Coturnix japonica: one gene and its partner. The protein of the gene in region 1 purifies or fractionates together with the protein of each later gene. This does not show direct contact. Links are inferred from orthologs where the notes say so. Each region holds a gene or a part of one and is shown on either strand. Other genes may lie near its edges. The genes, in order: LURAP1 and CDC42BPB.

The links.
Region 2: the proteins of LURAP1 (region 1) and CDC42BPB purify together in Homo sapiens (co-immunoprecipitation; 3 studies listed by BioGRID and IntAct, with this or other methods). This does not show direct contact. The link is inferred for Coturnix japonica from reciprocal best matches to the Homo sapiens genes LURAP1 and CDC42BPB.

The regions. Positions count from the first base shown.
Region 1 is NC_029523.1:19,084,961-19,089,306, forward strand, and holds the start of LURAP1 (leucine rich adaptor protein 1), read left to right. Parts: upstream 1-1,433; 5' UTR 1,434-1,488; coding exon 1,489-1,683; intron 1,684-4,168; coding exon 4,169-4,346. Other genes in the region: POMGNT1 (protein O-linked-mannose beta-1,2-N-acetylglucosaminyltransferase 1), read right to left, coding at 410-520. UniProt on the Homo sapiens protein: Acts as an activator of the canonical NF-kappa-B pathway and drive the production of pro-inflammatory cytokines. Promotes the antigen (Ag)-presenting and priming function of dendritic cells via the canonical NF-kappa-B pathway.
Region 2 is NC_029520.1:45,406,543-45,410,349, forward strand, and holds part of CDC42BPB (serine/threonine-protein kinase MRCK beta), read right to left. Parts: intron 2,914-3,807; coding exon 2,805-2,913; intron 2,713-2,804; coding exon 2,642-2,712; intron 1,326-2,641; coding exon 1,194-1,325; 3' UTR 1-1,193. UniProt on the Homo sapiens protein: Serine/threonine-protein kinase which is an important downstream effector of CDC42 and plays a role in the regulation of cytoskeleton reorganization and cell migration. Regulates actin cytoskeletal reorganization via phosphorylation of PPP1R12C and MYL9/MLC2.

The DNA of each region.
Region 1 (4,346 bases):
CAAGATCCCACTCCTCAGCCTATTTTCTCTGAGCACCTACTGTGCCTTACACCAGGCTTGGTTTGCAAATCATATTTGCCATGGATGGTCCCTAACTGCAGGCAGAGTCCTGATGCACATAGCACGGCCATACTTTCATCTGAAAGCCTCCCAGGAAAGCCTGCATAAGTGTATCTCCAGTCATAACCAGTCCATTTGCAAATAGAAGGAGCTGGTAGATATGGCAGAATACTCCACACACAAGCACAAAGCTAGTGAGATGGCTCTTCTAGGGACATGTTATACATCCCCGACATATTAGGTCACATAGGACTCCAAGCAGACCCACCTCCACCCCCACATCTGCTCCATAAGCTCGTAAACCCCAGATTATCCTCTCTAATCCACCCCAGGCTGGCGAATGAATCACCTGGCACAGCTTCCTCAGCGCCCGCTGGTTCATCAGCTTGTACTTCCAGGCCAGGTACCAGCTCCTCTTCTTGTGGGGCTTGATGATGGGGTTGTGCTTCCACTCGTCCATAGTCACAAGGGCTGCATGGGGTGAGGGTCAGGATGCGCTCAGCTCCTCTTGTGTGTCCATCGGGGCACCCTGTCCAGATGGGGTGGATACAAGGCGAGGTGTAGAGCACAGCCAGAGCGTGTCACCAGGGGTGGCTGTGAACGAGGACACAACACGAAAGCTGCATGAAACTGAAGAGTGAGCAAACCCTCCCCACCAGCCCCACAGGGACACGAGGCTGTGCTGGAAGACCCCATAAGGAGGACAAGGCCCAGAAAGGACCGTGCTGCTGCAAAGCCCACAGGTACATAGCGGGACACTGGGGCCGGGACGTGGCCCTGCGGTAAGGCCGGGCCTCCCCCACACAGCCAGAGGGAAGAGGAGGCCGAAGGAACGGGGGACACGGGGGGACACACGGGGAGGACGTCGGGGCGGACACAGAGCTCAGCGTGGCTCCGACCGCGCTACTCACAGTGAGGCCGGCGGGCGGTGAGCGGAGCGGGGCAGGGCCCAGCCCGGCCGGGCGCCGCCGCAGCCCCTCAGCAGCAGCGGGGCCGCGCCGCTTCCGGCGCCGCAGAGACGCGAGGGGGCGTGAATTCCTTTAACCCCGCCCACCTGACGGCGCTCTGCGCTGCCTGGAGGACTCCGCTGGTACGTGGGCAGGGGGCGGGGCCGGGAGGAGGTATCACAGTCTCATAGTCTCATAGTCTCATAGTATCACAGTCTGGTGCGGGTTGGAAGGGACCTTAGAGATCATCGAGTCCAACCCCCGGGATTCGAGCCTCTGTGTAGCAGAGCGGCACTTCTAGACTTGTGCCACAGGGGGGATTCGAACCCGGACTCCAGTGTTGCAAGGCGGCATTCCTACCACTGCGCCACCGGGGGAGGTGGCGTGGCCAGAGCGCAGGGGGCGTGGTTAAAGCGCAGGGGGCGTGTCCGTGGTGACAGCTCCGCCGCCTCCTCCCGCGCGGTGCCGCCGCCCCACCCGCATGGAGGGCGGTGGGGATGCGCTGCCCGCGGACCTGCGGGAGCTGCTGGGCAAGGTGGGCCGCCGCCCCCCCGCCGGGCTGTTAAGGGGGCTCCGCTCCGAGCCCGCCCCCTCCCCGCCGTCCCCGCTGCCGGCTCCGGTTCGCGGTGCCCGCCCGCCGCTCGCCGATCGCCTCCGTGCGCTCCGCTTGGAGCTGGTGAGTGCCGGGGGTGGGGGTACGGGGCCGTCCCGGGGCTCTCCGGATCTCCGCATCGCCGCTCGCCCCCGGGAGCCGCGGGTTGCTCCTCTCCTCTCTCCTCTCTCCTCTCTCCTCTCTCCTCTCTCCTCTCCCACGCGCGGGCACCGAACGCGGCGTTTCCATAGGGAAACCGCCTCACTGCGGCTGCGGGGTGGGGGCCCGTCCTTGGCCGTGTGCTGTCCCCGTGTCGCCTCCATCCCGCACTCTGACCGCGGAAGGAAGGTGCGGAGCTCGGGCTGCTGGGAGGAGGAGGAAGGGAGAGGAGGAGGAAGGCCGCCTGCCCCGCACCTTTGGGCCCTGACTTTGAACTGTGACCGATGTAACATTGGGGTTAAAATGCCATTAGGACCCGAAATGTGGCACGGCACCGCACCCGGCTCCGCGCAACCCCATTAATGCAACGGCGCTTCGCCCCGCGTGGGCGGCACGGGGAGGGGACAGCGCGTTCCCACTCGCTTTCCCTGAGCGAGGGAGGATATTGTGTCCCTGGGGGCAAATTCCTCTCTGCGGGAAGGAGGGAAGCATGAATGGGGCGGGGGAGTGGATTCTGCCCCCGTGCAGGGCAAAGAGCCTTTAGTGCCCTTGGGGGATGAAGGAGATGGGCAGAGTTGTTGTGAAGGTGAAAATCTCGACTCCAGCTTTGTCCCCTGACACTTTAGCTCATCTTTTCACCCCGTTATTCCAAAACTGGCAGTCTCCAAGGGAAAAAAGGTGCCAATGGGTGCTGAGCAGAGATAGGAGACTGCAGTGCTGGGAGGATGGGATGGAACAGGGAAACTGAGGCATAATGTGGTGCCCTGAGAACAGGGAGCCCTGGTGGGTCTCTCTGGGAAAGATACTTTGTGGGGAGGAGATGTGCAAATGACACTTTCCAGCAATGGGAACTAAAAGCAGGTAGTGTGTTCCCATCAGCACCCAGCCCCTAACATCTGAATCTGGAACCTTGCTCCTTCCCTACCCTCTGGCAGCACCACTCCATGTGCTGGGGAAAAATGGCACTGCTCAGGGCCTGGAGACAGTGTCAGGAGGTCCCAGACTCCCTCCGTGCCAGGGCCAGTGCTCCATTGGAACGTGTGGAGAAGCCTGCTGGAGCAGTTTGTGAAATAGCTTGCCTAGAAAGGAAGTTTCTGCAGCTCAGAGCTGGCTGCTGCCCCAATCTGGGCTGTCAGCAGCTCTCCCATCTTTTTTTTTTTTTTTTTCAGTCCAGCCTGGTGGCTTTGAGGAGGGTCAGGGAGGTTTGTTTTCAGATCCCTGCAAGTATCTGCCCATTTTCTCTGTACCCTCTGACTCAAGAGGCGTCCCGTGCCAAGACCTTGACAGAACTTTCCCATGCTCCATCCTCCTCCCAGTGGCCTTGTCCTGGTGCCTGCTGTGAGATGCAGACGGGGTTCCTCGGAGACCTGTTGAGGGGATGCTGCCATTTCCCATTGGGCTTGGCTGGAGTGATGCTCAGAGCTGCGTTCTGTGAGCTCCCAAAGCACGAGTGCTGCATGCAGCTTGGGTTGTGTTTGGAGATATGGTGCCCACAGCAGCCGATGGGCTGCCCCCTCATCTCCCCTCACCTGTACCTGTCCCACTGTGTGTTTTTTTTCTCCCTTCTCCCACTGCCCTTTTGTTCCCTTTACTGGTGAAATATTTTCCTCCTGTGCAGGGGAAATCCAGTGGCTTTCAGCGGCGAGCATCATACAGACAGGAATGTCTTGGCACGCTGAGCTTTCCATTAGGAAAACAGATGTTTGTGCAGCAGCTGCGGTTCTGCAGAGAGCTTCTCCCGGCCTTGCAGGGCAGGAACTGGCTGTGCAGGGAGGGAGTGGCGATGGGGACTCCAGCCCCTGTCCAGGATTGCTCCAGGATGGGCTCAAGCAGGACGGGCACTTTGTGCCACCTCTGTTTTTTTCTCACCTTCTAGCTGGGAGCTTTGGGTGTGACTGGGGTCTTGGGCTTCAAAGACTTCCATGATGTTTCTGTTCTATGGGGGAAAGGACCATTGTCCTATGGTCTCTGAATGCATGGAGGAGATCTGGAATCACTTGGGAAGTGCTCACAATACAGAGGTGGGACTGGACCTTACTCTGGGGGTTGTCCTACTGCATCCCTGCTCAGTGCCACCAGGGTCTGGGAGTATGTCTGGGCTCAGATCTGGACCCAGTGCCTGCATCTATTCCCTTGTCCCTGTTCCTGTGGGGGTGGCTGTAGTTGGGGATGGCTGTGTGAATGCTGTATGTCCCTGATGGTGTTGCCTGCAAGTCTCAGATAGGACTGAAGGGGAAGGGGAAGGAAGGGGACACGTTGTTCCCAGTGGGAACCTGGAGCTGGAGGTGGGCAGCACGTCCCCATGTCCCCGCCTTACCCTTTCTTTATCCAGCTGAGACTTGGGGTTCTCCTGGGATGGAAGGCACAGCACATCCATCTCGCTGAGCCACGCTTTCTGTCTCCCCACCAGGCATACCTGCGCGCAGTGGACGTGAAGATCCTGCAGCAGCTGGTGGCAGTCAACGAGGGCATCGAGGCGGTGAAATGGCTGCTGGAGGAGAAGAGCACATTGACCAGCCGCTGCAGCAGCCTGGCCAGCAGCCAGTACAGCCTGGCGGGCAGTCAGACAGCCTCACGGCGGGGCAGCT
Region 2 (3,807 bases), on another chromosome or scaffold:
TAATACATGGAAGCATGAGATTAAATATACACGCAAAACATCACCACTGCACGTGGGCCATAGCAAAATATACAGGAGTGTGTTGTGCATTTTTCTACATGATCAATACTTGATTAATAATCATGGGGTCTTCATGCAGATGAGGATATAGTTAATGAGAAAAGCAGCACCCCCAGTTACGCATCCTTCACGTTCCACTTTGGTAACCAAGAAACCAGATTGACGTGTTAGTGTGAGTCCCTTCGCTCTGGCAGACATCAAGGGCAATGCGCCTACAAGGAGGCCTGCCAGCTTAACAACGCAGTGTGCCCTTACACCAAACAACGCAGTGTGCCCTTACACCAAAAAGCCCGGGAGAAACAGCCTCTCAGAAGGAGATAGGCAGGAATGATGAGTAAAGTTCTCTTCACAGCAGTAATGATCAATATTTTAAAAGCCCTGACTAATGACTGGGACTGACAAGGACTAAAGCGGGGTGTGGGTAAGAGATAACCGGTAGTAGTCCTATGTACAAGACTAAAAAGTTGGTAGAAAGATAGAAAGACTGTTACGCAGCTGAATATGTAATGGCTAAATGAATTACAAGGCCACAAGACTATAGCCAACCTTTACTTGACATCCTGGTGATACTACTGATGTTGGGAACAACCAACAGCTTCCTAGCATTCTCCTTAAGAATTAGGAAACAAACCATTACGGGACAAAGGGAGTAGCATATTTTGTTTCTGAGGATGTAACTAGACTGCTTGCATTTCCTATCCAGAGCTCCAAATCGTGTCTAAAAGGATTTCCTGCTAATGAGATATTACATAATTCTATAGAAAAATAATATTCCTGATACTGTAGCAACATTATCAGTATCTCTCTCTATTTCTTTCTCTGCGTAAGAATAACAATATTTACTGGTGGCCTTAAATGCTCCTATGCAATAAAACTGTGTCACAGCTGTGCAGAAAGGAATCAACCGTAACCGAGCAGTGAACAATCCTGCATAAAAAGCTCCATTACTATTTAGTAAAGAATTTTCTTCATTTCAATAGTTTGTATCTACAATCTGGATATATAATTACTCTTGTACAACACTAGAGATTCGGTGTCAGTCTTGGCACTAGCATCGGAGACAGCTTTGCCCTGCTCTTGAGTATTCCATAGAGCAGTGGGTGACCGAAGCCAGAACGGTGTGAGCGGTAGCGTTATGCGTCGCAGGTCGACTGGTCCAGTCCATCTAATGTGAGCTGATTCCTATGAGGAGAGTTGGGGCTTGGGGGACCACTGGGGTTTGAGCTGTTGGATGGAGTAGAGTGTTTGGTGGAGTCTGAATCAGGCTGTTAATGAGAAACATCAACAAATTACACTTAATATCGGTTTCTTGCACTCAAAAGCTTTCAAGATGCTCAAAAAATAAAGGAGAGCAACACTCACCACGTAGCATATATTACATTTCATAGCTAAACATTGATGCAAATACTTTTATTATCTTTAACAGGCTCTCATGCAGTTCTTCTGATACAACATGAAGTATGGCAAAGTGTGGAAATTGCCATACCCCAGGCTCCTCTACTTCAGCCACTGCAAAGCCTCCTTGATAAAACACATCCACCTGTTCATTGTTACTCCGTGTTCATCAACCTAAGCTTTTAAAGCCATTTTTATAGCCAAGGAATAGGTTTATCTGTCCATATAAACAATTACAGTGAAATCATCCTCAGTTTGGTGAGAAGGAAGGAAACGAGCACACAAACAGTTTACAAAACAGCGCCAGCAACAAAGACAAGCATGTGCAATGCCTGACAAAAGAGTGGAGGTTGCCAAGTACCAGGCCGGACGGAGGTCCAGAAACAGAATATACTTACTGGAGCTGCCCTACGTCAGTATCTAACACAGACAGGCTATTCAGTTACTTCCCCAGCGTTAGACTGGTTGTTGGATATCTGGCTTCACAGGCTGGTCTCACTTCAACAGGATGGCTGGCAAGTTTCCCTCTATTTTGGTGAGCTACAACTGTGAGCATTGCACAAATTCACAGCTTACAAAATACTGCACAGGAAACACTGGTACTATGGCAGCTTTTTTCTCAAGAAAGGGAATAGCTATTTTGTAAATGGATTGAAAGGTAACATCCTACAAGGATTTAGGGACACCACTCTGCTCCAGACCTTTTCAGACTGGTGACTACTGGCACGTAATTTCACAGTGGCTAAAAACAGCTTTACACGTTTTAAGATTTGATTCCTTTTCAAGTTACAAGACAAAAAGTTTTCCTTAAGGCAGAGCAGGAAACTATTTAACTAAGTAATACTTCTTTGCTCTTCTATGCTAATAGCCCAGAGAACATTTCTTGGAGCTTTGAGGACATTTCATCAATTAGACAAAATTGCCTCGTCTACAAAGCTTAATCCAGGACACAATATGTCCTAAAATATCGCTATAAAAAGATTCTCAGCTTTGCTTCAGCGCTGCTGTATCCAACATACAATCAGATTGTGTTGCGTGCTAGAGAAAACATCTGCAGAAAGAAAATATCTCCACAAAGAACACAGTCTTCATGAAGTATTTTCCAAGATAATTAATTTACTGGAAGAAGAAAACAATCCACAGCAACAGAACGTTGTCACTCCCCATTTAATAACAGCTCCTTTACCTCTTTGTCAAACTCCTGGTCAGGATCGGACATACTTCGGGAAGGCATGGCTCCCCCCCCTTCACTGCCACCTGTAGAGAAGGAAGGAAAAACATCAGTTTTATGTCTCTTGTTGAAGCCACAAACAAGACCTTAGAACTGAAAAGCTTGCTTCCAGCCTTACTTGATGAGGGCCACGAAATATAGGTTTTGCTTCTCTGCTGCTGTTGCTGCCGTGAGAGGTTAGCTGTAGATGGACATGTTTTTTCATCCTGTGCAGCAGGTAAGACGCTCTGCAGTTGAAATGAAACACTTTGTTAGCCAGCAATGGAAGCTATCCAACTAGAGGATGTTAAACGTGACAATTCTGCTGTGCTTTTGAAGCTATTACAACTCGGTGTTGGTAGAAAAACTCTGAACTTACTTGACCACATCCACATATTTTCAGTAACAGACACAAACCCTGAGAAAGACAGAGAAAGAACTAAGCCCCATTGCAGCCATTGGAACCTGTCAGCCAGCAAACCCTCTATGACAGGGCACTGACTGTGCCAATAGCTCTGCTTCCTTCCTCCTCTTGCTGAAGGGATGAATGCATTATCCTTACAGAAGCTAGTGAAGGACAAACAAAACTCTGACTAGTAGCTATAAAATGGAGGGGACAGAGTCTCAGAAGTGTACCTCTGCACCTTGCTCTTGGAGATTTAGCTATCAAATAGCTCACACTGCTGTATACGTTAAATGCAGACCAAAAAATAATGCTGCAATCTTACATGTGCTTTAGTTATCTTACAAAGCACTCATTCCTCCCCACCCTTTTTTTTCTCTGCAATAGTCCAAATGGCACAAGCACACTGTTCTTGTTTCTGACAGTGTGAAGGTACTCCCACCCTTGCTAGGGAAGCAGAGGATGAACAGGAAGAGGAAGAAAGCAGAGGGGAGCCTTGCAGTGAGGAATGGTCACTCTGGAAAAGGATTTCAGAGGACACAGGGCTTGTGAAAGACATGCTCCAAGCCTGCTGGAGGTGATATCAGACCAGAATGCAGAGAGGATGAGGGGAAGGAAATTCATTCTGTTATTTTAAGGTGACACACACAAAAAAAGAAGGAAGGAGGAGAGACTGATTATTTACATAACTACTAACAAGCTTCCAGCAATGGTATCTACTTCCCTCAGTGTCTCCTTC